Saccharomyces cerevisiae S288C: one gene and its partners. The protein of the gene in region 1 interacts with the protein of each later gene in a biochemical or structural test. Each region holds a gene or a part of one and is shown on either strand. Other genes may lie near its edges. The genes, in order: VPS27, UBI4, CHC1 and DBF2.

Evidence for each region.
Region 2: the proteins of VPS27 (region 1) and UBI4 form a complex in vitro, tested with the Saccharomyces cerevisiae proteins (8 studies listed by BioGRID, with this or other methods).
Region 3: the proteins of VPS27 (region 1) and CHC1 form a complex in vitro, tested with the Saccharomyces cerevisiae proteins (one study listed by BioGRID).
Region 4: of the proteins of VPS27 (region 1) and DBF2, one has a biochemical effect on the other in vitro, tested with the Saccharomyces cerevisiae proteins (2 studies listed by BioGRID).

What each region holds. Positions count from the first base shown.
Region 1 is NC_001146.8:631,636-639,354, forward strand, and holds VPS27 (ESCRT-0 subunit protein VPS27), read left to right. Parts: upstream 1-5,350; coding exon 5,351-7,219; downstream 7,220-7,719. Other genes in the region: putative ammonium permease ATO2, read right to left, coding at 1,373-2,221; RPC34 (DNA-directed RNA polymerase III subunit C34), read right to left, coding at 2,709-3,662; SWM2 (Swm2p), read left to right, coding at 4,308-4,748; ATG3 (Atg3p), read right to left, coding at 7,547-7,719. UniProt on the Saccharomyces cerevisiae protein: Component of the ESCRT-0 complex which is the sorting receptor for ubiquitinated cargo proteins at the multivesicular body (MVB) and recruits ESCRT-I to the MVB outer membrane.
Region 2 is NC_001144.5:62,450-69,173, forward strand, and holds UBI4 (ubiquitin), read right to left. Parts: upstream 2,759-6,724; coding exon 1,613-2,758; downstream 1-1,612. Other genes in the region: membrane morphogenesis protein VPS13, read right to left, coding at 1-1,196; ENT4 (Ent4p), read right to left, coding at 3,326-4,069; E3 ubiquitin-protein ligase PRP19, read right to left, coding at 4,296-5,807; GRC3 (polynucleotide 5'-hydroxyl-kinase), read left to right, coding at 6,131-6,724. UniProt on the Saccharomyces cerevisiae protein: Ubiquitin exists either covalently attached to another protein, or free (unanchored).
Region 3 is NC_001139.9:100,217-110,785, forward strand, and holds CHC1 (clathrin heavy chain), read right to left. Parts: upstream 7,289-10,569; coding exon 2,327-7,288; downstream 1-2,326. Other genes in the region: chromatin-remodeling protein SPT16, read left to right, coding at 1-1,860; POX1 (acyl-CoA oxidase), read left to right, coding at 7,942-10,188. UniProt on the Saccharomyces cerevisiae protein: Clathrin is the major protein of the polyhedral coat of coated pits and vesicles. In yeast, it is involved in the retention of proteins in an intracellular membrane compartment, presumably the trans-Golgi.
Region 4 is NC_001139.9:664,649-672,113, reverse strand, and holds DBF2 (serine/threonine-protein kinase DBF2), read right to left. Parts: upstream 3,926-7,465; coding exon 2,207-3,925; downstream 1-2,206. Other genes in the region: DRN1 (Drn1p), read right to left, coding at 203-1,726; U4/U6-U5 snRNP complex subunit PRP31, read right to left, coding at 4,289-5,773; rRNA-processing protein UTP22, read right to left, coding at 6,043-7,465. UniProt on the Saccharomyces cerevisiae protein: Ser/Thr-protein kinase involved in the mitotic exit network (MEN) and required after the metaphase to anaphase cell cycle transition. Phosphorylates CHS2 to regulate its dynamics and chitin synthesis at the division site during cytokinesis.

The DNA of each region.
Region 1 (7,719 bases):
GTTTTTGATGGCTCCTTTTTTCTTAGAGTGACAGGCGCGGCAGCCCCTTAACGCGGGTACCTGAACAAGTAAATCCGAAAATTCAATTTGACAAGGGAATCATTGGGCTGACAACAATAAGATGAGCTCTCTTATATTTTTGCCCAGGGAAAAATTTTTTGCCCACTAAAGATATGCAATATTAAAAAATTTGATAAAAATAAATCAATGGGGGCGAGCCGGGACTCGAACCCGGGACCTCCCGCACCCTAAGCGAGAATCATACCTCTAGACCACACGCCCGGTAGAAGTTGTTTTAATGAATTTCAAAATATGGTACCTCAACATCAATAGATCATCAACCACAACGTAAAACATGCATGTGAGGCTTAGGTGATTTTTGAGATAATTGTTGGGATTCCATTGTTGAAAAAGGCTATAATATTAGGTATACAGAATATACTAGAAGTTCTCCTCGAGGATCTAGGAATCCTCATATTCCTCTGTTGATAATTAGAGGTTAAAAATTAGTATTAATGAAGAAATAAGTACTGATCTTCTTATACTAAATAAGAGATGTATATAAAACACACGCTGATTGGTCATATTAATCATGACCAATATAATAGTGATTCCGGTAGTTACTAAACATTGATGTGACGACTCATATTCCTCATATATGTACCTACCATAACATGTTCAACTAATAGGTCTTTAACACAGCTTCAGTATTGTCTGAGCTTCTCGTTTAACATTCCTTCTGCAATAGGCGCAATCACACTTAAACGTATACGAGGTGTACATTAATATACGATGTAAGCATTAGATTGTTACCATAGCAACTCATGTCACTATTAATTACTCTCGTTCCAACAAAACAATTCTTAAAAATTCACCAATTTAGCTTCATGGCAAGGCTTACAGATGATTAAAATCGTGTAGATCATGGAAATCGAACCTTTCACGTTCTGCAGAATTTAAAGTGACTCCATGGCCAAGTTGGTTAAGGCGTGCGACTGTTAATCGCAAGATCGTGAGTTCAACCCTCACTGGGGTCGTTTTTTTTCTTATTTCAGATAGTCTTGTCGGTAGCAAACAGTCAAATCGCTATCACTTACATGTGATATCATTTCTGTACTGCTTATGCACTATGAAGTGCGGTTTCTTTTTTATGCGATATTACATGTGTCAATAGCAAAAGGGGTAAACCGTGCTCCTATACAACAAGAACAATAGTTCGGAAATGCATGAGAACAGTGTTGTTTTATAAAGGATTCTATGTGAAATAAAACAAAGGCCGATTTGTTCGACATTTGCTGGGCTTTTCATAAATAATGGATCATAAGAATATATAATAGGGGTAAAAGTTATTTTAGCCTGCACTTTTGTGTTTTTAGAAGAACACCTTATCATTGCTAGGTAATGCGAATGGATGGACCATAATGTACGAGTTTTGTCTTGTGGCAATACCTGCGTAAGCGTTGTACCAGGCAATGAAGGCTACTATCACACCAAGGACCCCACCAGCTCTAGTGACGCCAACTTCGCCTGTGAAGTTTGCAATGGATAGAAGTAAGAAGGTCACTGCTAAGAGGAAGAATAAGGCAAAAAACATTATAGTTGATTTCATGGTGCAGACGGAAAGACCGAAGGTGAAGAGTGCCCATCCTAGGAGGTAAAACCCTAGCGCATTTCCAAGGTCGGATTCCTTGTCCTTATAGGCATCTAGAATTCCAAACCAAGGGATGTATATAGCACCGAAGCTTAACCAAAAACCGCCGAAGGAACACAGGGCTGTACCACCGAAAGTGTTCTCTAAAGCGATTTCCCAAATACCAGCAATGAGTTGAACGAGGCCACCGTAAAACATGGCACACCCAACAACAACATTAGGGATAGTGATGCCTTGGGCTCTTGCATTGAACATGGATAGGACAAACGTAGTGAGGGCAAAACCGGAAAGTCCTAGTGGAGCAGGATTTGCGAATTTATGGACTGGCGCGGGGGCTAAACCGGGATTCAGAGTACCACCGAATGCCTCGAACAAATCATCCCTTAAAAATTTTTGACGGCCGATGTAAATATACTCGTTGTTTTTGCCCGCAGTATATATTTTGCATATGGACTCTTGCGAGTGGCGGCTCTGATCGTTGTTTTCAGAGATGAACTCACCCTCGGAAGAATCGAGTGCCTTAGGGTTCTCAAAAGCGGTGTTGCCGCTGCTTTGTTCTCTGTCAGACATGCCTTTTATTTTTTTCTGTGATTGAAGATTGTTTTTGATTGATCTGTAGAATGTTACATAGTTAGTTATGGCTATTCTAGCTCTAGGTAGGACAGTTCTCCTGCTTTATATATTTTGCTTGTTCAAAGATGATCACGGCTGTTCTCGGAGTGCGTAACTGCTTGAGAGTTAAATCCGTCGAAGTTGCTGATCATTTCCAGAAATGAGGAGACTGTTGATGATCTACTGTGAAATTATTGCGGGGCTGGTAGCATCTACTGTCACTATTATTGCCATGTCGGCTGGTATCGGAGTTCTCCCTCCGCCGATTTAGGATGGAGCCGTTCCAGCCGCGTCCGCTCTTAAGCGTCCGTAATTGGTCAACAAAGCATTTCAGCCGTGGTGATTGGAAGGAAGGTCAGCTTTCCTGTATTGCGTCTCTATCTACTTACAATACGAATGATACATTGAATTACGTACTAGTGTGAGATAGGGGTAGTCAAGAACTTCAAATTGTCCATTCATCGAAATAGACCACTTCCTTGTCGTGTTTTGAAGCCGGAAACATCTTGAAGTAGTTAAAGATGGAAAATTCTTCTTCATCCTCCAAAGCCTTATTACCTGCCTCCGGCTCGCCCTCACCTTGGTTCATTTGTAGAATGCTCTCTAAGGTCACTCTATAGCAGTCATGCGTGACTTTTTCCAGCTTGTCGTCGTACACTAAGACTTCACACAAAGATCTGATATTTGAAGGGGTTAACTCGACATTGGCCACTTGTGCCGCTGTAATAAATTCCAAAATTTCTTGTGTGGTAGAGTAATTTTTTACGTTTGGAGCATAAAAGACGTTTTTTTTGGGTCCATTTTCGAAATTCTTGAAGCCATTAGGGAAGGTGTTCTCTGATATGAACCTCCAAACAATAGTCAATAAACTATTGATAAATTCTATATCCAGCTCTCCATCTGTGAACCATGGACCTCCTGTGATGTCCACAGAGGGTTGTAAGCTGTACAACATGTAGATTTTCCTTGTGGGAAACTTTACACTCTTAACACTCTTCACGTATCTTTGGGATTCTAAACTCTTCAAGCATTTAAGAACTACATGCTGATGGAGATTGGTTCTTGCCTTGATAGTCTTGGACCATATCCCTTCTCTACCGCTAGCCTCGATATAAGAATATACCAGTGCCTCTTCAGCCGACATGGTGGCTTTCTTTTGCGCCTCAGATTCTAAGACACCTTGAAATTTTAATTCGTCGTTTTGTTTTACTAATTTGATCAAGTTCTTGTCTAGCAATTCCTGTACAATGGACATCAAGTCTGTTAACGACCCGATTCCCATTTGTTTTTGGAGTTCTTGCTGTGTAAATAATGCGCCTATTCCTTTCGACATCATCTGGCTATGTAAGGTTTTAGCATTGTCCGATAGCTGTAACCCATTTTCTATCATTCCACTCATATTCAGGATATTGGCGCTGTAAATTCTTCACTTGATTAAGATTTTCTGTAATGATCTCATCTCACAAATACATCGCAAATCAACTTGAAAATTTTTAATACAATAAAAGATTTGAAGGAAAAAAAAAGTGCCTGTGCGCGATGTTACTTAAAAACAAAAAGATTAAATAATTGCAATATCATCTAGTTGGATTCTAAATATACTACCAAACAAGGGCTTAAACATTTTAATAAACGATTTACATATTTACTGTGGGTATGGCAATGGGTGAGCGTAGGTATGCTACGGTAGGCGATGTAGTGAGTAGTGCGGACGAACCGTAGCCGTAACGTTTAATGCCCCCTGCCTTTTCTTCTCAATTGCTCACATGTAAGCAAAGTCTTCCAAGAATCTGGTTTTACTCGTAGCCTTTTAACGCTGTTTTTTTTTTTTGCACACCTTTAAAACCTATAGAAACTCCTTCATATAAAATGTACTAGTTATAAGATGACTTTTTATATTCAAAATTAGAAGAAAACTTAACTAAAATTAAAAAAATAGCGGCTATTAAAAGGTATTAAAAAGTGAGAAAAAAAGAAAAAAATTATAAACTTGAGAAATCAAAGGAGACTAAATGCATAAGCAAAGAGAAGAGGATCTCCTCGGATGATAGATTTATACAATTACTCTAACTTAGAAGGTTTACTAGACGGATTAACGGACTTGAATCGAATTCCGAAGGAATACTCCGCAGTATTGGAGCCATATTTTCAGAATATAGCAAGAAATGCACATTTAAAGTCTAGAGCTCTAAAAATTTGTCGTTCTAATTTCCATAAATGGAACGAAGAAGGTGCGAAGACAGTCAATCCGGAAATTATAAGAAGATGCCTTAACCTGTGGTATGTTTTGAAGGGCAAGGAATATAAAAAGTTGAAGGATCCTCCGCCTGCTGATAATATCATTAAGGATGAGATTGATGTCTCATATGTTAAGAATTTGAATGTAGTCAGGTTGGAATTTGACGAATTTGGTAAACTCATAAGTAATCCATTAGAGAATTTGATCTTGGAAGAGGTCGAAGTGAATGATTTCATACAAGAATAAACCTAAAGTGTGTTCACTCATCTAATATGCACGGAGCCTACCTTTTAGCTTTTGCTGCCAAACTAAACCAAGATTGAAAGATATATAATCGACTATCTTTCGTCTCGTAATCTGTATCATGCAATTTAAATTAATTATCAACATAAAATGCTCTAGTTAGCACGCGCATATCCAGGAAAGTTCACCAGTAACTATGTACTAGACAAAAGCAAACTGTTCGGAGCGACCATACACCATATGTTGTTGAATCAACTTTTCTTAAGGCTCTTTCGAGTTCATCATTAACCAACCTAGGTATTTTCCCGATTTTTTGGTAATATGTCAAAACAGCTACTTTGTATACATTTATAGACGCCTGGTGTCCTTTGAGCCTCACTTATATAAAGTAACCTTCACAAGATTTTGGATTTTGGTAATACATACGCTACTGCTATTTCTTGCGGAGCAGCAGAATCATCTTGCTCGGCCTCCTTTTCTGAAAATTTCGATGATACCTGAAATAATCATCATTAGCAGAGGGAATTTAAAAATAGAGGGTGTAAAATTATCAAGATTTTTTTTTGCTAAGGTGAATGAGTAGTGAGTAAAGAACTAAGAACAGTATGTCCGTTAGCACGCCAAGTGAGTTAGACGCATTAATAGAACAAGCCACTAGTGAGAGCATTCCCAACGGTGACCTTGATCTCCCCATAGCGTTGGAAATTTCAGATGTGTTAAGATCTAGAAGGGTAAATCCCAAAGATTCTATGCGTTGTATAAAGAAAAGGATTCTCAATACGGCCGATAATCCAAATACCCAATTGTCTTCCTGGAAGCTTACCAATATATGTGTAAAAAATGGTGGAACGCCTTTTATTAAGGAAATTTGTTCCAGAGAGTTCATGGATACCATGGAACATGTCATTTTAAGAGAAGATAGCAACGAAGAACTTTCTGAGCTGGTAAAGACCATATTATATGAACTATACGTAGCCTTCAAAAATGATTCGCAACTTAACTATGTGGCAAAAGTTTATGATAAATTAATCTCTCGTGGCATTAAATTCCCTGAAAAGCTAACACTTTCCAATTCTCCGACTGCAATGTTTGACTCGAAGACGCCCGCAGATTGGATTGATTCTGATGCTTGTATGATTTGCTCCAAAAAGTTTTCTCTACTAAATAGGAAACATCACTGTCGTTCCTGTGGTGGAGTTTTCTGCCAAGAACACTCATCAAATAGTATACCCTTACCTGATTTGGGTATATATGAGCCAGTCAGAGTATGTGATAGCTGCTTTGAAGATTACGATTTGAAGAGACATGACGACAGTAAAAAATCTAAAAAACATCGCCATAAAAGAAAGAAGGACAGGGACTACTCAACTCCTGAGGATGAAGAAGAGCTGATAAGGAAAGCAATAGAACTCTCCTTGAAAGAATCTAGAAATAGCGCTAGTAGCGAGCCTATTGTCCCCGTTGTAGAATCAAAGAATGAGGTGAAGAGACAAGAAATAGAAGAAGAAGAAGATCCTGATTTAAAAGCTGCTATTCAGGAAAGCTTGAGAGAAGCTGAAGAAGCGAAGCTACGCAGTGAGCGTCAAAAAGCCTCTAGACAGATGCAACCCCAACAGCCATCACCTCAACCTCAACCTATCCATTCCGTTGATTTATCTGATGAGGAGAAAGACAGCATATACATGTTTGCTTCACTTGTCGAAAAAATGAAATCGAGGCCCTTGAACGAAATTTTGGAAGACTCTAAATTACAAAACTTGGCTCAAAGAGTATTTGCTTCCAAAGCAAGGTTGAATTATGCTTTAAATGATAAAGCTCAGAAATACAATACTTTGATAGAAATGAACGGCAAGATTTCGGAAATTATGAACATATACGATAGATTATTGGAGCAACAGCTACAAAGCATCAATTTGTCTCAGCAATACACACTTCCACAAGTCCCTTCTGATCCGTACAATTACCTAACAGAAAATGTGCAAAATCCAGCAGAAAGCTATCAAACACCTCCCCTCCAGCAACTATCATCTCATCAATACAAACCACAACAGGATGTCTCACGCCAACAATCGGTAAAAGCAAATTCATCACCTACCACTAATATTGATCACTTGAAAACCATCGATGTGACACCACACGCACAGCAAAAGCCTCAATCGCACGTTGAACTTGCACCTTCGGACCCACCTTATCCAAAAGAAGAGGCCGAAGATGAAGGAACACAGGCAGTGCAAGATGAGGAATCCTCCACACAAGAATCCCGCGAAAGGCCGTATCCAGTAGAAACAGAGAATGGTGAAACTTCAATAAATAAACGGCCTCAAGGCATTACACGTTACGATTTTCCAACTGTTCCTGCACGCAAATTCGTCCAACCGGAGTCAACTGTACCACTTCCTGCAAGTTCCTCTGAAATTCCGATCAAAGAGGAAAGGCCGCCTAGTCCTCAAGAGGAACTGCTAATAGAGCTTTAATATTGTAGCCTTTTCTATGTATTTGTAAAAAGAAACCTAGCGCTTATAAATATATACATACATATATATATAATTGCTTGTTACGCAACTTATACATATTTCTGTCATTAAACTAGTTTTTAAGGTGAATATTCATAATTTATGTCAGTATTAACATTGAAACCGTCAAAAAAAAAAGTATCAATATAGACAAAGGAAGGACCATTTTAAGAAAGTGGTTTTAAGGAAGAAACTTGTTCCTGCATATTTATAGTTAATTCCTATCTTCTTGTTTATCCTGTTTTTTGACCACCTGGCTTGCAGCTAATAGTGAAAAAACACAAATTTTTACCAACCTTCCATGGTATAGTCATGTTGTATACTCGGTGTAACACTAGTAATAAACTTTAAGAAAACAATCAAGTATTGGTCTACCCGTAACGAATCATCAATATCGTCTTGTAAATCCTCCCAGTCTCCGACACCGTCCAGCTCTTGTTCTTCCTGCAGCTCTTTCCTTC
Region 2 (6,724 bases), on another chromosome or scaffold:
TCCTGAATGGGGTCACGTAGCGGAGCTTCTAAATTTTTTAACTTTAACTTTTCAACCCATAATTTTGTGTACAACCTCCGTTGTTCACATTTCTCCTTCATGCTTTCCCAAGTCCACATTTTGTTTTTTTCATGAATTTCATTAATAACACAAGCAGCAATGTATTTAAACCATTCTGTCGGGTTTTCACTAACTGCGAAGGATGGTCTTGCTTTCTTAAACTTTTTGGTAATTTGTCTTAACTGTATACTGGAGAGGACATGCAAGATATCATTATATTCTGTATCATCTAATTCTAAACCAAATTCATCATAAAACATTTGCAAGTCAATGTGAGGTTGTTCCTCCGTGGAACCCAGCTTGTTGATACTAAGCTTCCCTAGCCCGCTAACCGGTTTCAAAATGTATTGATGCTTGGGGGCAGTGGAATTTTTCGATGCAATCATATCTTTGAAACCCCTTACAAAATTTTCCAGGCTTCTATCTTGATCATCATCAGAAATCAAGGGCGGAGAGTCTGTATTCCAATACAAACAGAGTGAATTTAAAGTCAATAGTTTATGCGTGATATTCTGTGTAATATCAATGAAACTTGGAGCCCAGTTGGAATCTGTAGATACAGCTGATAGCTCGTTCAAAGTTAATCCAACGGAAGATGGGCCTGTAGTGAAGATTCCGTCCATGTCCTCGTACCTTAAATGGATATTTTTTATGGTAACTTGTAAATTGTCTATGATCTTTGTAGTCAAAGACTGCATAAACCCGGCGTTATTTTTTTCTGAAGAAGAAGAAGAGGTTTTGTTCTCTGATTGGGTACTCAGTATGCGAGCCTGATTTGTCAGTTCCCATTCACTTACCTTCCTCATCTTCAACCGAAAAGCTCTCTTTATCATCTCCTCATCATTTTCGTGATCTTCTGAACGTGGTGAGCATAATAAATAACAGTCCTCGATAATGATTTTCACGGGCTTATTCTTTAAACTTGACCATGGGACCGTTAAGACCAAATCACCCAGTATCCCTGATTTCACATCTATGGGTAAATTTAATGAGTCCAAACAGTCTTTTCTTAGTTTTAAGTTTTTTAACTTCACATCACCACTCCATATGCCGACATTTAATTGATTAGGGTCGAAATTTTCCACATATGAGCCTAGCAATCGGTTTAGCAAATTAGCAGCTAAAGACTCTAACATTTAACTGTTCTTAATTTTCCTTTTTTCTGCCTTTTCCCTTTTGGTAGTCACAATATTCTATCCGTATCAAATTAAATAGAGTTAAAAGGTTGACTCAATTGGTCGGCTTATGTGCGTTTACTGGAGATTGAAACATGATAGGACACTATAAAGGTGGTTTATATTCCCTAATAAAAATCCCTTTCTATCAAAATAGCTAATGGTATTACCCGGCTTCGCGAAAATAGTGAACGTCATAGTATAAGACGATTCAAAAATCCAAGCTCTTGAAAACCAACATGAATAAAGACAATAACACAGTTGAACAATTTATTTAGTGTTCTATGGAGTATTTATCAAAAAAAAAAAAAAACCAAAAAGAAAAAAGGAGAGTAAACATATATATATTGACATAATGAAAATATTGCGAGGACTGATCAGTTACCACCCCTCAACCTCAAGACAAGGTGAAGAGTGGACTCCTTTTGAATATTGTAGTCCGACAGCGTTCTACCATCTTCTAGTTGCTTACCGGCAAAAATCAATCTTTGCTGGTCTGGAGGAATACCTTCCTTGTCTTGAATTTTCGACTTAACGTTGTCAATAGTGTCAGAAGATTCAACCTCTAGGGTTATAGTCTTACCTGTCAGTGTCTTGACAAAAATTTGCATACCACCTCTCAGTCTCAACACCAAGTGAAGAGTAGATTCCTTTTGGATGTTGTAGTCAGACAAGGTTCTACCATCTTCTAGTTGCTTACCAGCAAAAATCAATCTCTGTTGATCCGGAGGGATACCTTCTTTATCTTGAATTTTACTTTTGACGTTGTCAATAGTGTCGGAAGATTCAACCTCTAGGGTTATAGTCTTCCCTGTTAGAGTTTTGACGAAAATTTGCATACCACCTCTCAATCTCAACACCAAATGCAACGTAGACTCTTTCTGAATGTTATAATCAGACAGCGTTCTACCGTCTTCCAGTTGCTTACCAGCAAAAATCAATCTTTGTTGATCTGGAGGAATACCTTCCTTGTCTTGAATTTTCGACTTAACGTTGTCGATAGTGTCAGAAGATTCAACCTCTAGGGTTATAGTCTTACCTGTCAGTGTCTTGACAAAAATTTGCATACCACCTCTCAGTCTCAACACCAAGTGAAGAGTAGATTCCTTTTGGATGTTGTAGTCAGACAAGGTTCTACCATCTTCTAGCTGCTTACCGGCAAAGATCAACCTCTGTTGATCCGGAGGGATACCTTCCTTGTCCTGGATTTTCGACTTAACGTTATCGATCGTGTCGGAGGATTCAACCTCTAAAGTGATGGTTTTACCGGTCAAAGTCTTAACAAAGATCTGCATACCACCTCTTAGCCTTAGCACAAGATGTAAGGTGGACTCCTTCTGAATGTTGTAATCAGACAGCGTTCTACCGTCTTCTAGCTGCTTACCGGCAAAGATCAATCTTTGTTGATCTGGAGGGATACCTTCCTTGTCTTGAATTTTCGACTTAACGTTGTCGATGGTATCGGAAGATTCAACTTCCAATGTTATGGTTTTACCGGTCAAAGTCTTGACGAAAATCTGCATAATCTATTAGTTAAAGTAAAGTGGGAGGGAGAGTTCGAGAGTTCTTGTCGTATTGTAGTAGATAGAAGATATACTTATCCTTATCCGTACAGTTCTTGCTCTTTCTGAAGTAGCACTTTCGGAAGAAGAAAGATAAGCAGGCGAATTCAAAGGTGGCAAAACCCGGAGCCTCTCTATATATACCCCCAAAAGGAGGAACCGCCCTCAAATGACACTGAATTCTAAAAACAACTGATAAGTGGCATCGCCCCTGAAAAAAGAAACGAAGTGGGGTAACCACCGTGTGTGGCCGGATGTACGGCTGTGTGATGCTCCACTGGGCGGCTATTTTTTTTTTTGGTACCGAAATTGGTTTATCCAGGATTATTCTAGAACGTTCTAGAAACAATACTGACCACAAAGACTTTTCGGAATAGAATATTGTCAAACAAGAACTTTTTCACTTTCTTTTCATAAAACGTCACTTTCATCACTTTTGCAGGATTTCCCACAGTTCGTTTAAAGGGACATTTCCTATCATGGGTTGCCCTGCGCGAATAAGATGATTGGTCAAGGAAGACTCTAAAATCATCTGAACGGGTTATTTGAAGACTTGGGTCTAAATGAGAGCTTGCTTATTCCACCCGCCACGCCGGGCGTATCTTCACTGTCTTCTTCGGCCAGGGGATCCAAAGAGAATCGGGCATATTCGTGCGTATTCCTTGTCCGTTGTCTCTGGAAATCTAAGCTAGTGCTGGTGGTGGGAGGCTTTGCTTTCTTTTCTAAGCTTTGTCGCGTGAGCTCGCTTCTCATTTCCTCCAGCTTCAAATGGCTATTGTCCGTGGACTTCCTGCCCGGAGTCGATATGCTTGAGCGGAATTGTATTACATCCTTGCGTTGTTTTTCTAGTAACCCGTCGTCTTGCAGCAGCCCCAGAACGTTCCTGCTTAGCTTTTGAATATCTTCCGCCTTACGTTCATCCCGAGGATCCTGAACCTGAAAATCCTCCAGGATCTCAATTAGTATCATGTTTCCTTTCAGCCACTTGATGAATTCATTGGACCCGTTATTCATCAGATATGAGACCAAAGTCAGCGTCTTCATCACCTGGATACAATTTCGATGAGAATTTCTTCTGTTCTGCCCAAGTAGCAATCGCTTCCGGATTACCTGGATGATTTCTCGTACTGTCTTGGGGCTGTAGGTCAAGATTGATATTTCGTTCATAAGCGTCCCCGTTGCTCCACTTGTTTCGTCCTCGTTGGTAGCCTGTTTCACCTTTGATTCCGTCGGTGATTGAATAAAACTCTTGAAGGTATCTAACAAAGGCATCACGACCCCCTCACTATATGTGTACTCGTTCTTTGACACCTTTATGCTTTCTAGGCTTATTCAACACATAACCTCAATTTTCGTTTTCTCATTCTTTTTTCTTTTTTTTTTTTTCTCACTAAAGCGTTGTCCTAGAGATGTAAAAAGAGAAGGAAATGAAATTTTTACTGGAAATGTTACTACTATTACACAGGTTTATTTAGAAAGTACAAACGTGTCAGCGTATTTAGGGTGTCAATGCAACAATATTGAAACTATCATTTGTCTTCAGAATAGCGGCAATACCACCATCTCCGCATACCACGTCCATATCAGTGAAATCGGCAGTGTCGCTTTGCAAACAGAGGGCGCTCTCCTCGTCTTTAGTCCAATTTTTTGTTTTCTTGTCAAATTTGTATATCGTCAGCGAATTGCTCTCGTTTGAGTATGCAATCATATTCTTTCCAGAGTCGTCAATGTCATAGGTAACGGTGCCCGTCTTGAATTCTGGGATTGTGTAAGTTGGATACGCTAGCGTGCCGACATCCTTTCTTAGGTCAAAGCAAACCACAGTTTGGTCACACTCTACTACCATCCAGTACCCATTGTCTGCAAATTTAACCTCTTTTATCTTGGCTTCTTCATCTACGGGGAATCTAGAGCTTGCCTGGTCAGGTGATGACAAGTTGTAAACGTCTAATATACCGTCCGGAGAGTAAAGGGCTAATAATAATGAATCCTTATGTAGGACACCGCTGCTGTACTCAACATCTGATTTAGCAGAATGAACAATATACTGGGAATCATCCTCGTAGGATTGAAATCCTATGGTTCCTCTATTATCCGCCCAGATGAAGTACTCTGTGTTGACCTCGTTGTGACCATACATATATATAATCTCATTGGCGGAATCTACCTCTATTTCTCTGAGGACTTTGTTTGTTTTTGAGTCCAATATAGTTATTTGGTTACCTGGATATAGTAGTAGCAAACGATTACAAGGCCCTCTGGAAATAATAGCTGGATGCTCTCCCCCGGTACGGGGATTTGGTGTAGTTATTGTGGTAATCGTTTTCGAATCTTTTAATTGGGTAAAATGTAAAGCACCATCCTCACAGCGACACATGCACACCCATTTATCATAGTACATAGATTTGTTAAGCTCTTTATATGGGAATGTTTTGATGTTACGGGAGTAATTTTGTGCCTGTAATAGCTCCAAATTTTTTAAAATCGGCCATTTGGGTGCTTTGAGCTTGCCCCTCGCTACAAAGTCTCTAGAAGATTGTAACAGCCCTTGTAAAAATTCTTCTCTCGTAATAGCTACCGCTTGCTGTGAGGATTTGGGTAAATCCTTCGAATCTTCGTTTTTTTCCATCAATAGTTGCGCAGCGACCAACTTTGCAGCATCTCTTTCGTACATTACAGTCGACAGTTTTTTCGTTAAACTATCTAGAGTTGATCGTAACTTAAAGTTTTCGAGCATTATAGCATCCCATTCATTCTGTAAACTTGTCAACAGATTCGGAATCGAATAATTCGCTTTTAACGTAGCAGAGTTTGTAGACTCTGTTAGTGAGGCTTGTTGCGCACTAGGTACGATTTCCACTATTTCTTCGATGCTTAAGGGCTCATTTGTTATCGGATCATTCCCCGTATCTTTAACATACTGTTCAAGGAGCGACTTTTCAAAAATAGTCCTGGATTTAGGTGATAGAACTGGCCTTCTAGGAACTTTCCCACTAATAGCACAAAGCATTGTTCCCTAGTTGGCTTTCTTGGCTATGTTTTGGTCTTTAATATTTCTTGGAAAGTTTGCATCTTTCTAAAATTGCCCTTACGAATTTTTCACCGCTGCTACCCGAAAAAGTACGAAATTTATCAACATGAAATTTATTCCTGCCAAGTCATCGAGTGCTCTGCGCCTAAGGCTTAGGTTGCATTTAAGTTGTCTTAATTCACGCTTATAGTGCAGGTAGTATAGGTTCCCCACTCCTGATCTTTCCCTTCTGAAATAAGGAAAGACTGCAGTTTAGTTTGGCAGAGAGAAGAAGATAATCATTTCTATTATATTCTACCGCTATGGTGATAGATTCCAAACAGGATCTACCTCAATATACCAAAGATTCAGGTTCAGAATCGGACTCAGACTCAAGTAATAATTTCATTGTGGAATCTCCGTCAATTCCATCTTCAAAAAGTGCAACCGTAGTTCTCAATAGTGAAGAGTATGAGGACGACGAAGGTGATGACTTGAACGGGCTGGATGCTGAATTGATCGATAATATAACGTATGAAGGAGATGAAGATGAAACTATGTTTGTGGGGTTGAAAGAAAAACAGAAGTTACATTTATCTGGTGTTTTCCGGCTGCAAGTGGTGAAAGGAGGTATTGTCTACAACAATGTACACTATAACGCTTCGAGAGAAATTTTAACCTTCTGGCACCCGTTATCACAGTCCATACCTACTATAGATTTTTCGCACTTTGCAGGCTGGCAAGACACTTTTTTTATGCCGAGAAACAACAGGTTTAAAATTAGAGATGAAGAATTCAAATCATTTCCATGTGTTCTTCGCGTTTTTAATTCTAATCATACGGGCTTGTTAGAAGCAGGTCATTTATATCGGGATGTTAATTATCTATGGAAACCTAAAGAACCTTACTTTCCATTA
Region 3 (10,569 bases), on another chromosome or scaffold:
GCTGATACGGTTCAAATTCCTCTCGATGAAACAGAGCCTCCACGCTTCTTAACAAATTACACCAAAGCCAAATCCCAGATATCATTTTATTTCAATAATGAAGAAGAAGACAATAATAAAAAGAAATCTTCACCTGCCACCAAAGTCCCTAGTAAACCAGACAGAAATTCCAAAATTTTAAGAACAAAGTTACGTGGCGAAGCCCGTGGTGGTGCCGAAGACGCTCAAAAGGAGCAAATTCGTAAAGAAAACCAAAAGAAGCTACACGAAAAATTGGAAAAGAATGGATTACTCAGATTTAGTGCTGCTGATGCCAATGGCCCAGATAGTGAACCTCGTCAATACTTCAAAAAATATGAATCTTATGTTCGGGATTCACAACTACCAACCAATATTCGTGATCTAAGAATTCATGTCGACTGGAAAAGCCAAACAATTATTCTACCCATTTACGGTAGGCCAGTCCCATTTCATATAAATTCATATAAGAATGGTTCTAAAAACGAAGAAGGCGAATATACGTATTTACGTTTGAACTTTAATTCACCGGGATCTTCTGGTGGTATTTCTAAAAAAGTGGAGGAATTGCCGTATGAGGAATCAGCAGACAATCAATTTGTACGTTCGATTACACTAAGATCCAAAGATGGTGACCGCATGAGTGAAACCTTTAAACAAATTGCAGATTTGAAAAAAGAAGCCACAAAGAGAGAGCAAGAACGTAAGGCGCTTGCTGATGTTGTTCAACAGGACAAATTGATTGAAAATAAAACTGGAAGAACGAAAAGACTGGATCAAATTTTTGTGAGGCCAAATCCAGATACAAAACGTGTACCTAGTACTGTCTTTATCCATGAAAATGGTATCAGATTTCAATCCCCACTAAGGACTGATAGCAGAATAGACATATTATTCTCAAACATTAAGAATCTAATTTTTCAATCTTGTAAAGGTGAATTAATTGTCGTCATTCATATTCATTTGAAGAATCCAATTTTAATGGGTAAAAAGAAAATACAAGACGTCCAATTCTATCGTGAAGCTTCTGATATGTCCGTCGATGAAACTGGAGGTGGAAGACGAGGTCAATCCAGATTCAGAAGATATGGTGATGAGGATGAGCTGGAACAAGAACAAGAAGAAAGAAGAAAACGAGCTGCGCTTGATAAAGAATTTAAGTATTTTGCAGACGCAATCGCAGAAGCATCAAACGGTTTATTGACGGTGGAGAATACATTTAGAGATTTGGGCTTCCAAGGTGTCCCAAATAGATCGGCAGTTTTCTGTATGCCAACTACAGATTGTTTAGTTCAATTGATTGAACCACCATTTTTGGTGATTAACCTAGAGGAAGTCGAAATCTGTATTTTAGAAAGAGTTCAATTTGGTTTGAAAAACTTCGACATGGTTTTTGTTTATAAAGATTTCAATAAACCCGTCACTCATATCAATACAGTTCCGATCGAATCTTTAGATTTCTTGAAGCAGTGGTTAACAGATATGGATATTCCTTACACTGTCTCAACAATCAATTTGAATTGGGCAACTATTATGAAGTCATTACAAGATGATCCATATCAGTTTTTCTTAGATGGTGGTTGGAATTTTCTGGCTACTGGTTCAGATGATGAAGCATCTGATGAAAGTGAAGAAGAAGTTAGTGAATATGAGGCTTCAGAAGACGACGTAAGTGATGAAAGCGCATTTTCTGAAGATGAAGAAGGATCAGAGGTGGATGACGATATTAGTGGTGATGAAAGTGAGGACTATACTGGCGACGAGAGTGAGGAAGGTGAAGACTGGGATGAATTAGAGAAAAAGGCTGCTAGGGCTGATAGGGGTGCAAACTTTAGAGATTAGACTTTATAACACTTACTGGGTTTCACCAGCAAGACCTTGATCTGACAGAAAATTACTCTTATGTATCTGAAAAATAATGATGGTATTTAGGCATAGTATTTATCAATGCTAAGAAATGTAAATGGACTGAATGTACACTCAATGCTAACGGTCAAGGTCATAGGACGTTTGCGTAATAAAAGAAACTCTACTAGAGTTGAACATAATTTGATATAAAAGTATATAAATTGAAAAGGCAGTTTCAATCATTTTAGTTTCTGCAATTTATTTATTCCTGTAATCTACAATTTTATAGTTGGGAAATTCTCTCGAAAATATTAAGAAAAATACAGAACTCATAAGGTCTTTTTTATTGGCATTTTGAAATCCCCTCAGATAATCAAAGATGCTAACAAACAAAATAATAACGGTAAAAAAAAAAAAAATACACGATGGGGTACAGCAAACGAATTATTTTATCCACGTCTTAAAATCCTGTGGGTTGAACGTTCATCGCGCTGTTCATCAGCATCAAAGGTTGGCCATCTTTGTGCTCTTCATTAGATCCGGACTTTTTAGCGAGTTCTTCGGTGATTTTCTTAATGGAATCATTCTGCTCTTTTTTTATGGAGATTTCAAATGGCTTAATGTAGTCCTCCAAAGAATTCATCCATGATATTTCTAAAACAAATTCAATTCTCACTAAGTTGTAAGCAGCATATAGCAAAGCAACAAAGCCTTCTCTGTTACCGGTTTCAACGAAATATGTGAGTAGAGCCTCCACTACCTTTGGATCCTGAGAGATTGCTGCCGTCTCAATAGCGTCCTTCCATAGCTTTTCTTCCTTCAAGATTGAAAGACTCTTTGCCCACTTCTTATTTCTACGGTATAACAGGGCTCCTATTTTCTTGAAAAAAATTAGCTTATGAGATTCCAAACGAGATGCCAATCCCAATTGGTCAAATTTGTCATAAGAATCAACAGCGTCTTGCAAAGCTTTATAATCTTCTTCTTCAATCATCAGATCGTGGTAGGCTTGGTTGACAACTGAGTTATTTTTTGGTAAGACATTGATCAAGAAAGGCTTGATTAAAGGCAAGTTGTCGGATTTCGAGAAAATTTTGACAGTTCTTGGAATATCTAATCTTGGTGTCAATGAGGTCAAAAGATCAACTAGTAATGATGGGTGAAATTTGACGTAGAAATTAATGGCCTTGTAATAGATTTCTAAGTTAGAAACTTTGACAACAACTTCTTTGAAATAGGCGTGATCCAAGTCTTTGGTTGATTTTTCGATTAGTGTTAAAGCAGCATTATCCCATTCATCATAGTGAGCATATAAAAAGACCAATTCCGACCAGAGGTGAGCTTGTTCGACAGCTCTAATAACCTTTGGAATATTTATTCTGGACCAGAATAGCTTCAAGTGTTCGAAGGTCTTGTCTGGTTCATATTTGGAATACAAAATGGCCAATTCAGTGAACATGCCCATATGAGCTCTTTCAAGTCCCAAACCAGCTTCAAACAATGAAATCAGTTCTTCGAAATAGCCGTTTGATTCATACCTTTCCACCAGTTCATCTAATTCTTCAGCGTGAACGATCAAGTTCAACCCACAAATTTGAGCCAGCTTGAATTCTTTCTTTTCAATACAAGCGTCGTTAACCAGTTTCCAAACTTTAATGTTTGAAGCCTTTCTAGCAGTGTCAACAGCAGCCTGATAATCTCCCAGGTAAACCAAGGTAGAAGCAAGCTTGGAGTAATTAGAAACAGCAGAATAACATAGCCTGGCCGCTTTATACTCTTTATTCTCGAATAATTTATCACCAACATGATCTAAGTTTGCAACATTGGAACCTGCCAACAAGTTCTCAATTTCATGAATCTTGTTTAGTTCAGCATAGGCCAAGATTAAAGCACCGTCGATCTTTGGTTCTTTCAAAGTCTTTCTAGCCATTAGTAAAAATGGAATTAATTCTTCGTATTTACCGGCTTGTTCGGCTATATCAATTACATTTTCGTAATTTGATGGGTCTTCTGCTTTAATATAAGACTCAATAGCATCTGGGATTCTTAATCCATCTAACTGAGCCGTACCAATTTGAGACCACAATTCGGGAGTATTGATTTTATCAGCATAAGAAGCAGCTCTATCTAAAGACATGATGTCTTCGATTAAAACCTTTAAAGCTTTACCGTACATTTCATGTTTGTCATAGATTTCAAAAGCTTCCTCCTTCAAATCATGTTCAATACATAATGGAGCAATTTCATCGGCGTCGTAGTTATCTAATTTTTCGATATAGCTTGAAACCTTAGTTGGTTCATACTTAATAGCAGACAATAATAGCAACCCTTGTAAAGCCACATTTTCGTTGAAAGGAGAAGGTTCCAATATGATTTTTTCTAGCAACTCAATTAGTTCCAGTTTTAATCCATTGGTCATGAATGCTTGAACAGTTAAGGAAACAGGTTCAGGATCAGTTAATTCAGGGATACCAACGGAGATGACCGAATCAATTAATTGTCTTCTGTGAATATTTTCTTGATTCAAAACTTTGTTCCATAAATCGAGATCAGAACGTTCCAACAAATATCTTGCCTGGTACTTGTACATGCTATTTTCATTAGTGATTCTAATCAAGTCATCATCATTTTGACCTTTTTCATACGCAATATATGCAAGGTAGGGATCTCTTTTTTCGCAGTAATGACCAACGTCTAAGGTGTCATATTGGTCGTTTTCCTTCAAAAACTTTTCAGGAGAATTATTGGAATCAATATAAATTTTTGCTAAGGCATTGTAAACAGCTTGATCCTGGATACCTTGACTTAAGCTTTGTTCTAGGAAAGGTAGCAATATTTTTAGTCTATTTCTCTTTTCAACCTCAGTAGTTAATTCATTAATAGGGACTTGACCTAAGACTGATTGTAGCAGACTTTGAATAAATGCCTCATCACAGTCCATATCAAGTAATGCGCCAACAACTTGGGCAGTCTTTGAAGGGTTAACCTGCTGCACGTAAGTTTCAATAAATTTTAAGTTCTGTGATTTGTACAAATATAAAATCATTTCATGAACAAAGTCGAAACGGTCACAAACTATGACTAGAGGCAACTGGTCTTCTAGATTGGCATCCTTCAAGAAATTCTTGACTCTTTCTGGATCATAGACATTGTTATCCTTCACAATTCTTTCAATTTCTCTGTATTGTTTCATTTTAGCAGCAGCTTCAATGTATTTGTAAACCACATCTTTATCTTCGGTTAGGTTGACTAAAGAGGCTAAGTAATAGTATAAACCTTCCGTAGCATTATAATCTTCGAATAATTTAATCAAAGTAGATGGACCGATCAAATCAGAGAATTTAGTTGCCACCTGTACTACGGTCTGGATGTTAGCCTGAATATTGTTATCCATTAAAGCTTTTAAGCACGCCAAAGATTGTTCAACGTTCAACTTACCAAAGTATCCGACTAACCAATCGATAGGTAATGCATTGGTGTGGACAACGCATCTCTTGATATCTTTGATGTCTGTGTAATTTTCTAAAGCTCTCTGGTATAGTCCCGCCTTTTCGGATAAGGAAGCAATAGTTGGTTTGTCATAATGAGAAAAGATGTTGTTTCCCAATATGGCGTCAGCAACTTGTGGTGCGTGTAGTAGATTGACTTCAAGAACACGAGTTTGCAAGTGACCTTGGTCTGGGGTATCTCCTTTTAACGCGTCTAGAAGTAGAGAGGTTCCTTGTTGGATATGGTTTTGGGAAAAGAATAGATCTGCGATTTTTTCTATGTCGATCTGAGAAGCAGTTTCCGGATTTTGTAATAGAGATACGGCAAATTCAGAAGCTCTGTCTGGTGATGATCTAATCAAAGAAGAAATCAGCACTAAAAAGTTAGGTTGATATCCAACCTTTTGGCAGTAAGGAATAATTTTTTCAAACTGTTGTAATTCGGCAAGACAAGATATAACTTTTGCATGGGCACCTGCTCTTAAGTAGCAAGCTAGCGCTAAAGTAGTATCGAAAGGCTTAACGATGTCACCTAGTTCTTCTGAACATTCTAGTTTATCTTCCTTTAACCATTTTTCGAACAATTGTTTTCTGTCTTGTTGTAGAACTGGTCTAGCCAATTCAATTGTTTCCTCTTTATTCAATTTCCCTTTATCCAATAGTGTTGAAAAGTAAAGTAGGATAGGAGAAATGGCGCCTGGTGGTGCTTGAATGTTTTTCAACCTGTTGATGGTGTTTTGGTTCCTTAAAGAAGTGGAAGAGGCTGCAACTTTAGCTGCATTTTGATAATCGTTTTGTAACAATAAAGATTCAAACTGTTTTTGAAATAAATCATCTGCACCTGGTAAGCCACCTCTTGTAGCAACGATTAAGGCCAGTGCCACATTAGATAATTTATTCAAGATATATGGAACGATTTGAGAAGTAGAAATCTCTACTGCTAAAACTTGACCTTTTTTATTGATGCATGCAATACCGTTCTCGTGATTGTACGGAGCTGCAGTAAAAACAGATTCTGCTGTAATTCTATTAACGAATAAATTGGTACCGGTTTCCAATTCGTACAAATGGATGAAGCCATACTTGGTTAATAGGTAAATTATGCCGTATTTCTCAGACACCTGAACAGCGATTGGGAAATCATTCGTTGCATCTGGTGGAAAGAAAATATCGGTAGTTTCCTTTTGATATTGAGAAGGCAATGAAGCATCGTGATCAATCTCGATAATTCTTAATTCTCCAGCACCGGTGGTGGCATTTCTGTTACCAGTAACGAAAACTTGTACCGGGGTCGAGCCATTACCCTCTAGTAATATATTCGTAAAGATAGCAACATGACCGTCGATAGCTTGGGAGATGTTACGTTGTTTTGAGAATAATTGAATTCTACCGGCAATACGGCCATTTTCTTGTAAGATACCAACAACTGCGAACCAGTCAAGGTTTTTGTTAGCCACAAAATTGATAATTTGGGTATTGTTCAAGTTAGCGTGTCTCAAGGTAAGCAATTGAGGCTTAGCATTTACGTTACCATCAAAGACGTTCGAGGTCAGTATGGATCTTGCGGTAACAAAACCCAAAGTGGTTTCACTCAACCACCTCCAAAAAATAACAGGTTCATCTAAAGTAAAAGACTTTAACTTGCTCTTAGTTTCCAAATTAAATATCTGCACGATAGTACCATTTGCTCTAACGGAAATAACCATCTGAGATGGATGCATGATAGCAGAATCACCGCCCATATTCTTCCTTGTCACTTCATTGCCTTTGGCCAAATCCACGATTGCAACAGAGTTTGTACCGTCCTTTGTTTCTCTAACAGTGACGAAGTGGTCACTCTCGAAAGTAGTTGATCTGAAGTCAAGGAATTGAGGGGAAATTCCTAAGGACATCAGATCGACCAATTCGGTAAATTCAATGGGTAGGTCACTCATTGGTTAGAACTTTCGTGATAATTTATTTTTATAGTTGAATATCTTCTTTCTCTCTCAACTCTGATCCGGATTGTCGAGGTTTCAATAAGTTACTCTGAACAACTAATCAAAATATCTCCTTATTTCTGTAGATTCCTTCAGTTCCACTTTTTACTTTTCTTAATTCTCTTTGTATTTATTCCTAGCGACGAAAAATGCGAGATCTCGACCAAAAAAAGGGGGTAGGGTAATAAAATTAACCCTATTATTTTTTAACTTTAAAACCTATAATGTGCTAATATTTTATTATAAACCTCCTTTTTTTGCGTTCAAACCCTGACACATTTTAAGCCCTATATTTACGGTATTAGTTGATTAAACTCCGAAGCGAAAGGAATTCGGTCATTAGCGGCTAATAGCCGTTGGGGTAAATCACCTACAAGCAAGTACACAAGAGAACGTTGGCGTTGTTAAGTCAAAGCACTAATACATTGGGGCTTTAAGAGTGTTTATAAAGGTCTAACCTGTAAAAATTATTTAAACAACTTGAACAGGCCTTAAAGTTTTCCTCATTCCGCTCATCATCACTAATATTGCTCTCCGTTTTTGAATACACACTTGACACTAATAAGTATCACAGAAAAAAAGAAAATATAATAAATTAGTATTGCGATATGACGAGACGTACTACTATTAATCCCGATTCGGTGGTTCTGAATCCTCAAAAATTTATCCAGAAAGAAAGGGCGGATTCGAAAATCAAAGTTGACCAAGTTAACACATTTTTAGAGTCATCCCCGGAGAGGAGAACTCTGACGCACGCCTTAATAGACCAAATAGTGAATGATCCTATATTGAAAACTGATACGGACTATTACGATGCTAAAAAAATGCAAGAGAGAGAAATTACTGCCAAAAAAATAGCTAGGCTTGCTAGTTATATGGAGCACGATATCAAAACAGTGCGCAAACACTTTCGCGACACTGACCTGATGAAAGAGTTGCAAGCAAATGATCCAGACAAAGCTTCGCCTTTAACAAACAAAGACCTTTTTATATTCGATAAGAGATTGTCACTTGTAGCAAATATTGATCCTCAATTGGGTACGCGCGTGGGTGTACACTTGGGGCTATTTGGTAATTGTATCAAGGGCAATGGTACTGATGAGCAAATCCGGTATTGGTTGCAGGAGAGAGGTGCCACTTTGATGAAAGGTATATATGGCTGTTTTGCAATGACTGAGTTAGGACATGGTTCCAATGTTGCCCAGCTGCAGACTAGGGCTGTGTACGATAAGCAAAATGATACTTTTGTAATTGATACACCTGATCTAACTGCCACCAAATGGTGGATTGGTGGGGCTGCCCATTCTGCCACGCACGCTGCCGTGTACGCCAGATTGATCGTTGAAGGTAAAGACTACGGTGTAAAAACATTCGTTGTTCCTCTGAGAGACCCTTCGACTTTCCAACTGTTAGCTGGTGTTTCCATAGGGGATATTGGAGCGAAGATGGGTCGTGACGGTATTGATAATGGCTGGATCCAGTTCAGAAACGTAGTTATCCCTAGAGAATTTATGCTAAGTAGATTTACCAAAGTTGTCCGTTCTCCAGATGGTTCAGTCACCGTCAAAACTGAGCCACAATTGGATCAAATTTCTGGTTATAGTGCATTGTTAAGTGGTAGAGTTAACATGGTCATGGATTCATTTAGGTTTGGCTCCAAATTTGCTACTATTGCTGTACGTTACGCGGTTGGTCGTCAGCAATTCGCACCTAGAAAGGGATTGTCTGAAACACAATTAATCGACTATCCCCTTCACCAATATCGTGTTTTACCACAATTGTGTGTTCCATATTTGGTGTCACCTGTAGCTTTTAAGTTAATGGACAACTATTATTCCACTTTGGACGAGTTATACAACGCTTCCTCATCTGCATACAAAGCTGCTCTGGTTACCGTGAGTAAAAAGTTGAAGAATTTATTTATTGATAGCGCCAGCTTGAAAGCCACCAATACTTGGTTAATTGCTACACTGATTGATGAGTTGAGACAGACTTGCGGAGGACATGGGTATTCACAGTATAACGGATTTGGTAAAGGCTATGACGACTGGGTGGTTCAGTGCACATGGGAGGGTGATAATAATGTTTTATCTTTAACTTCAGCAAAATCAATATTGAAAAAATTTATCGATTCAGCCACAAAGGGTAGATTTGACAACACACTGGATGTGGACTCATTCTCTTACTTAAAACCTCAGTACATAGGATCTGTGGTTTCTGGAGAAATAAAGAGTGGTTTAAAGGAGTTGGGTGATTATACTGAAATTTGGTCTATCACCTTAATCAAATTACTGGCACATATTGGTACTTTAGTTGAAAAATCAAGAAGTATTGATAGCGTTTCTAAGCTTTTAGTCTTAGTATCCAAATTTCATGCCTTGCGCTGCATGTTGAAAACCTATTACGACAAGTTAAACTCTCGTGATTCACATATTTCCGATGAAATTACAAAGGAATCTATGTGGAATGTTTATAAGTTATTTTCCTTGTATTTTATTGACAAGCATTCCGGAGAATTCCAACAATTCAAGATCTTCACTCCTGATCAGATCTCTAAAGTTGTGCAGCCACAACTATTGGCTCTTTTGCCAATTGTGAGGAAAGACTGTATAGGTCTGACAGACTCCTTTGAATTACCTGACGCGATGTTAAATTCTCCTATAGGTTACTTTGATGGCGATATCTATCACAATTACTTCAATGAAGTTTGCCGCAATAATCCAGTGGAGGCAGATGGGGCAGGGAAGCCTTCTTATCATGCGCTGTTGAGCAGCATGCTCGGTAGAGGTTTCGAATTTGACCAAAAGTTAGGTGGTGCAGCTAATGCGGAAATTTTATCGAAAATAAACAAGTGAGTAGAGGTTTCCTGTTTTCCTTCGAACCCTCTGTTTTGCGACTTTTGTTTCAATTCAACTAGTGTCGCCAAGTTTTAACAAAAAGTTACAAAATCCTAGTGAGAGGCCATCTTATGTGCATAACGGTACTCTCTATCTATTTACATATCTAATACTATTCACATAACTATGACGAATCAATGACATGACTACATTTACCAATGTATAGTAGTAAAAAAATTGCCATCTCCTAGAATCGAACCAGGGTTTCATCGGCCACAACGATGTGTACTAACCACTATACTAAGATGGCAGGTAATTATTGAGTGTTTACTCAATATCTCAGAATTATATACATAACAAATAATAAATGTGCTGTGTTGGCACTTGTTGGAATGAAGC
Region 4 (7,465 bases), on another chromosome or scaffold:
ACACCAGTAGGCTGTATGGGTGACTCTTCTAAAAAAATTTTTTCAGCGCGGTCTCTCGAAGAACTTTACCCGGTTTTTCTTTTAATTCATCACCTCTGAGTTGCTAGGTCTCTTAAACGTTCAGAGGTAGCATGACTTAGTATTCTACATATATATACATATATTTGGATATATTTGAAATTCTAAATGAAATAGTTTTAGTTTAGTTTTCTGTGAGAGAAATGTCATAGGTCCTGTAGGCCTTTTGAAACTTTTCAGCCTCTATAGTCTCTTGTTGCTTAGTTTGTAAACAGGTTGAAGAATTCCATTTCACCCTGCGTGGCAAGTTAAGTAAAAAGGCTAGTACACGTCGTCCAAACTGCAGATCTATTGTCTCACTGGCATTAAATGTGGCCAAATATATCTTTGGGTCCGCTTCAGGAGTCTCGTAGACGGTAAATTGTAAATAATTATTGGATTGGTTGTTAATTACATCCACATATTGTTTGGAAGAGTGTGAATCGTAACATTGGAACTCTAGCTTAGCATTTCTTGTGAATTTTTCGTTATTGAAATGAACCTGTCTATCTAAGGCACTGCAGAACTTTAGAACGAGGTATTTTGGAACGGGAATAACTTGTTTGTGGAAATGAATAGAACGTTCAGACTGTATTTCGAAGACAATCGTGCACATATCAAATTTTATGTAGTTCATCTTCACAAGACTAGCTTCATAAGCCAAAATACTCTGTGTCAACTCTGCGTTCTTGCTTGGATCTAATTTCGGAATATGTTCAATGGGAATAATGAGGCAATGGCCTGAGATATCCATATCACCCTTAGGAACACTTAAAGGTCCCTTCGCTGTGGTTAAATACACTAGTTTGCCGATTGATATTATCATATGATCCTCGAGGTTTGGATTTGAAAAGCAGAAATGACAACTTGACGGCAAAATCGTTCGAATTTTTTTATTTTCATTCTTTTCTCTATTAGCAAGTACCTGTTTGTCTCCATCGAACGAATTCTCTGTTTCTGTTTCTAGTGGCCTTTTATTGCTGTTTGTAACCACGCTATTATACGGGTTAGCTATCAAGTTGGGCGGTTCAGGTTCATCCTTTAGTTCGTTGTCCCCTATTGGCATATTGAATGCATAGGCCCATTTCTTTCCAGATCCATATTTTGGAATATTGAGGAACCTCGATAAGCGCTCTCTTTCCCACTGGAAAGGCTCTAATTCGTAAAAGTTTATTTCATCTGAAAAGGCAAAATGGTACCTTGCTTGTAACTTTTTCGCCAATTCATCAACAACTTCACTTCCAGACAACCTTCCACATCTCTCAGAGATCGAAAGGCCCCATTCTTTTGTAAGGAGAATGTCTACCTGATCCTCACTTTTGCCAAATTCGTCCAGTATGCTTTTTTTCTCCCCTTGAAGAGTATCATCCGGATAAATAAAATATGAAAGAGTGATTCCATTTGCTAATTTATAAGTACCCATATTATGCAGCAATGTTACATTTTCATTTATCTTTTTGGATTTCGAATTGTTAGCCTTATCACACGATAGTAGTATTAGTTGAGGTAACCCATCAGTATTCAGCTCAAAATTTTCATCATACGAGTTACTGAATATAATTATTAGATCAAAGGGCCCTGATTTTTCATTCACTTTCTTGATCTTTCTGATAGCCTCATCGGCATCGCTTTCACTTATATGAGCTACTAAAATCTTTGCATTTGTCATCCTATTTTTATATGTAAGTTTTTGAAGTGAAAAAGATATCAGTAAACCATAAGCCCTTTTTTATATATTATGGATCCTTCTAAGAGAGCTACCTTGCGTTTTTTGTACATCTAGCAATGTAGTATCAGTCCAATTTGTAATTATCATTGAAAAAACAATTGATGTTAACACCCATTCCTTTTCATTTTTTGCAGATTTTCGATTAATAGTGGTCATTGCTGTTTTCCTGTAAAACATTACCAAGTTTCGCCGCTCCCAACATGAATGCTTAAGTTTAGTTCAAAACGGTCATGGGATGGACCGTTACCGTGAACTGAGATTTTAAACAATGGGCTTGAAGTCCTAAGTAATGCACAACTATATATATATATATGTATATTTATGAAAAAAGCGTTCATAGGTGCTAGTTGAAAAGTTTGCATGAAGCTCGTTAAAGCTAATTATATCGCGGCGAATGCAAGACAAGAATTCATTTTTACGCTAGTAAAAGGTTGAAAAGGGGTCTGAGTGTTCCAGTCCGTTGAATAAGATGCCACTGGAACCCTGTTTACCATTTCTATGTCGGAAAGTGAACCCAACAAGTTTTGATGATACTGCCGAGTCATCTACCATAGCCGTTAATTTGTCTTGTCTTTTGAAAACATCAGCATATTTGGCCATGTCAGCCTCACTGGTGAAGTCATCAAAATAACCGGCATCAGTTTCGCTGTCTAGTTGGGGTGTAAAAGGCGGGATCATTGACCTCAAAGTACTAAAGTTTATATCTGCAAAATAAGACATGCGTTTAACATGTTCGAAGGATCTTAATCGATTGATTGGATCGGCAATCAATCTTGTTATTAAATCCCAAGTTCTATCGGAGAATGCTGCCCTCCCATCAGATTGTCTCGGTCTTCTTAAAGTTTGTTTCCAGCGCCTTAAGTTGTCATAGGTCTCATTAGTCGATGATCCACTAAATGGTGTATAACCAACTAAACTTTCGAACAGCATACAACCCAACGACCAGTAATCCACAGTAAAGTCATATTTCTTTCCTTCTAAAACCTCCAAAGCCATATAATCCGGAGACCCAACCATGGAGTTCGCATAATTAATTTCCTTCTCCCTCAACTGGTTGTACATTTTTCTTCTATCTTCTATAGATTTCTCTGTAAACGCTGGAAATTCCAGGTCCTTGATTTTTTCTAACCTTATCTTCATACTTTCAATTCTTTCATTAGAAATCGTACCAGCAGCCAAACCAAAATCTGTTAATTTTATATGTCCCTTGGCATCGATTAAGAAGTTTTCCGGCTTTAAATCTCTATGTGTATAGCCTAAATCATGTAACGCATTAACAGCGCAAAACATTTCACTGATGTAAAATCTCGCATGGCCACTTTTCAAGCATCTAGTATTTATTAATAATGTACGAAAATCACCGCCTGGTACAAATTCCATAGCCAGGTATAAACTTTGTAGGTCTTGGAATGCATACAGAAGTTTTACTAACCATTCAGACCTTGTCGTGGTTAGGATATCTCTTTCAGTTAAAACGTGTTTTGTCTCGTTGAGCTTAAACAATAGTTTTTTGTTCAAAATTTTCAAAGCACACACCTCTTTTGTGTCTTTCTTTCTGGCTAAATAAACTTGCCCATAACCACCTTGACCTACTTGTGTGATCATTTCAAAATCCCTATTTTTTGGTTTCAACCTTCTTTTTCTCAAAACCTGATGTTCCCTTTGTAAGTAAGAGGACCACTCTTCGTTGAGTTTAATCTGGTCAGAATTCGGAAGTTGGCTTTGCTGTTGCAGGTATTCTAGAACTTGCTTCGTGCGTTGTCTTCTACTAATTACATAGTCAAACATATCACAGTAATGTTCTAGAAAGTACATTTTGCAAACACTAACAACTCTCTGTGTTTTATTTGAAGTTGCTCTTTCGTAAAACTTTGGTGGAAGCTTCTTGGGAGAGTTCGAGACATCCATATCAGGTTGAGATACTTCGTCTATGTCCATGTTGGAAGTATCTTCGTAAGGAAAAAAGGATGGTTTTACCGGCGAAGGTGAATCATTGATACCCGCAGGCCTTGTCCTCCTCTTTGTTATATTTTGGTTAGGAAATAGTCCAGTGCCCCCAGGAGTCCCATGCCCATCGAAACTCAAATTGCTCATATTGCCTGCCAAGAGGTCGACATTTTTTTCTGATTTTGATAGCATATTAAAGAATTTTTCTTTAGCAAGGAATACTGTAGATGTTGCTTGAATTTTTCTGGTATATTAGTTTCTATCTTTAGCAAGGTTTCTATCTTACAATAATTTACTTGGACGAATTGCCTCCTTGTATTTATTTTTAAATAAACAACAAGCGGAGGGCTTCAACATCAAGGTAGCTTCGAATGATTTAGATTGAGGAATGAAACATGTCATTGTTTACTTTTTGAATAATTACATTTCCTAAAAAGGGCATCTGGGTTGCAGCGTGTGGTGTTTGGCTTTTTACGAAATTTATGAGCGAAAACGCTCTCGCCGGTCACTACTATATAATATCTTTTTAAATATTATCAAGTATGTAGAAGAGCCCTAACCATGACCGGAAAACCAATTGGTCTCTTCTTCTGGGTTAGTATGCTGTTTCTTGTGCATTTGAACCATCTCTGGCGACAGATTCGGTTGCTCTGTATTATGACCCAAGGAGATTAGGAATTCGTCAGCTTGCTGATTAGCCTCAGAAATCCTGTGCTTCATTACCTTTGTTAGCTTGGCTTGATTACCAGCAGATCTTCTGGAACCTGATGTAGCTCCTACTGCTTGTTGTAAAGAAGTATTAGACATACCCAAACCAACTTCTTCACCATAGGAATCAAGAACAGTTTGTTCTTGCTTGCCAAATTCCATCCTATTTTGTAATTGTCTGACATGCGATAGTCTGAATTTTTCCTTGTACTTCCTAAATTTTCTCCCAGCTCTTTTCTTTTTGGGTTGGTCCTCCGGAATAGGTAGAGCCTTCGTTTCAGAAATGCTCGGGGCTTCTGATAGCTTTCTAGCTTTCTTCGATAGTTCGGCTTTCCATTTATGAGCTAAAACTGTATTTCTATCACCGTTTTTCTGGCCAGCATCAACTCTTGCGGCTAGTGATACTTTTGCACAAAGCATCCTAAGCATTTGTTTATGGACAGAAACGGGAAATTTCTGAATCATGTCAGAAGCAAATAGATATCCTTCTTGTCGTACTCCACTCTCTAATGTATGTAACTCATGTGAGAGGTGCTTATTCTTCCCAATGGACGCAATGTTGCAACTGGGAATGCGACTGAACTCCAAAACCCCTCCAGCATGTGCTATTAATTGGGCTGCTATCTCCGGGCCTACCAAGAAACACACGTTAGGGGCAATTATTGATATCTTTGAGGCTATGTATTGACCTATATCTTCTTGTAGTTTCCATAAATTTTCCAATATGCTATTTGCTTCTAAAATTTGCGTCCTCGTTTTGATGTCCAATGGCTCTTTGTTTTTGAAAGACGTCTTCATGGACATTGTTAAAACGAGGATCTGCTCTCTGGTCAATTTTGCTTTATTTTCCAAGTGGAAAAATAGTTCATCACTTTCGTTTTTTGAATAATTTTCATTTTCCAGTATGCTTATCACTTTTGAGTATTGTAATGGTGATGGTATCAATGAAGATAGTTCTGGAAAACGTCTACTGTACAGTGAGATTAGAAAATTGTGCATTAATTTTATATTGCTCTTGATGAGGGGGATGATTTCGTTAAAAAACGGTAACAGTTTAATGAAATCTATTTCTTGTTGTTGAAGGATTCTTTTTAAATCGACAATTTTTGGTAAAATCTGTGCTGTCTCTGATAGAGATAACCTATCAGGACTGATGAGTGCCAACGTCCTGAATAATTCTATACTTTCCGGAAGAATTTCGAATGGATTGAATTTTTCTGTTTGACAATTTACCGTAGTGAGCTTTTTAGTTTGTATGTCTTCTTTTTCCTCATTAACTTCATCGGCAAGGTCATATTCGAGCTCATCGAAATAGTCCTCTTCAGAGCTCATAAGGTCTTTGTATATTTTCTGCAGCCAAAATGCTATCAAATAGTGCTAGTTGAGGCGTTCAAATCGTTTACCTAGCTTTATTCTGAGCGTCGCCACAGCAGTACTATTCAAAACTTTTAAAAATACTAAGTTAACTTGTGCCAAATCGCCGAAAGGACCACATCTAAAAAAAAGAATTAAAGAAAAATATTCTTTATGTAAACTGCCGGCTGCTTTAATTATTTAATATTATACAGATACTTCTAAAAGTTATGATTTTGTTGTTTATTCTAATCTGTCTCAAAATTTATAACCATGTCATTCCCGAATGCAGCAATCTCATGAAATATGGCTTCTTTATTTAAAATCACATTCTCATCATCCACTGGTTTAACGTTGCAATCCAAGTTTACTCTAAATTTGTGGGCTCCCTTGAAGAGTGGCTTTATTAGCCCTGTGATGACATTTTTATCTCCTTTCTCTCCACCATTCACACCTATATACTTGCGGCTTGATAAAATCAAACTATTCTTGTACTTCAAGTTCAAATACTTCACTAACTGGTATGTTGGATCCATTTTTTCACTTAAATCATTCAAATTCTCTGGAAAGTTCGATGGGGCTTGATCGTTAGTTATATTCTTGAACTCTGTGGCTGAAAGTATACCACAGGATGATTTCAAACCTATTGGTGTCCTCAAATCAACGACAAAATCGTAATCTTTTAATCCAGGCGTGAATAAAAGATTGATAGTTTGCTGGTTTAAACCGTGTGTCTGTAAAAGATTCACGGCTACTTTAGCTAATGCTGTAAGCCTTGTAGCAATGGGTAGTGGGATACCTGATGAATAAAGAATACCGCTTGGATCGTTCTTAGAGGCAACAAAAAATTGCAAATGTGTACCGTTGGGATCACTGTTCCTCAAGTTCGTGAAGTTCATTTGAATGCCCTTATATTGTGCTAGGGTTAATCTTTCAGAAAGCTTTTTCATCGTTTTGGAGTCTAGCTCTGAGCCAGCTCCAATACTTGTTTCAAATGTATCTCTTATATCATCTTCTGGTTTTACTAGATCTAAAATCAATGGATCATCTTTCCAGTTCCATTGACTTATAAACTTAAGCACTTTGAGGAAACCGTTTTCAAGAGAACCTGGAATGAAATATGGTGCAGGATCAACAAAAGGTTTAATGGCAATCAACTCTGCTAATTCGTCCGTTATATGACCTAGTAATAAATGAGTGTCCAACCATCTTTTGAATAGTCTTACCACAGGGGAGTAGAATTGATACGAATGAGATATATTCTCCAAAGTACGAGTATGTCTTACGGAAGCCAGATATTTTGCAGTAAATTTTAGGAATGTGGCCTCCAATTCTGGTTTCAACTCATTCCTAGCATTCGCTATAGCTCTTAAATAAAGGATTTCGTCACGTTCAGTTAGAACTCTGAATTTGAATCCATAACCTTCAGGTGTCAAGATGTTCAAGGTTACAATTTCTAAATTGTATGGGATGGATTCATCTCTGCTGAAAAACGACCTATAAGTTGAAGAGTTAGCGCTTAATTCTTCTTGAATTTTGAGAAGAAAAGCTGTTTTAGCCTTTTCTAAGGAAGTAATTTCATCTGGCCATTTAGGTGAGGTTTCAAATTCCAAAATGACGTCTTGAAAGAAATCTGGATCAGAGTATGCGAATGGTACTGGTTGGCATAAG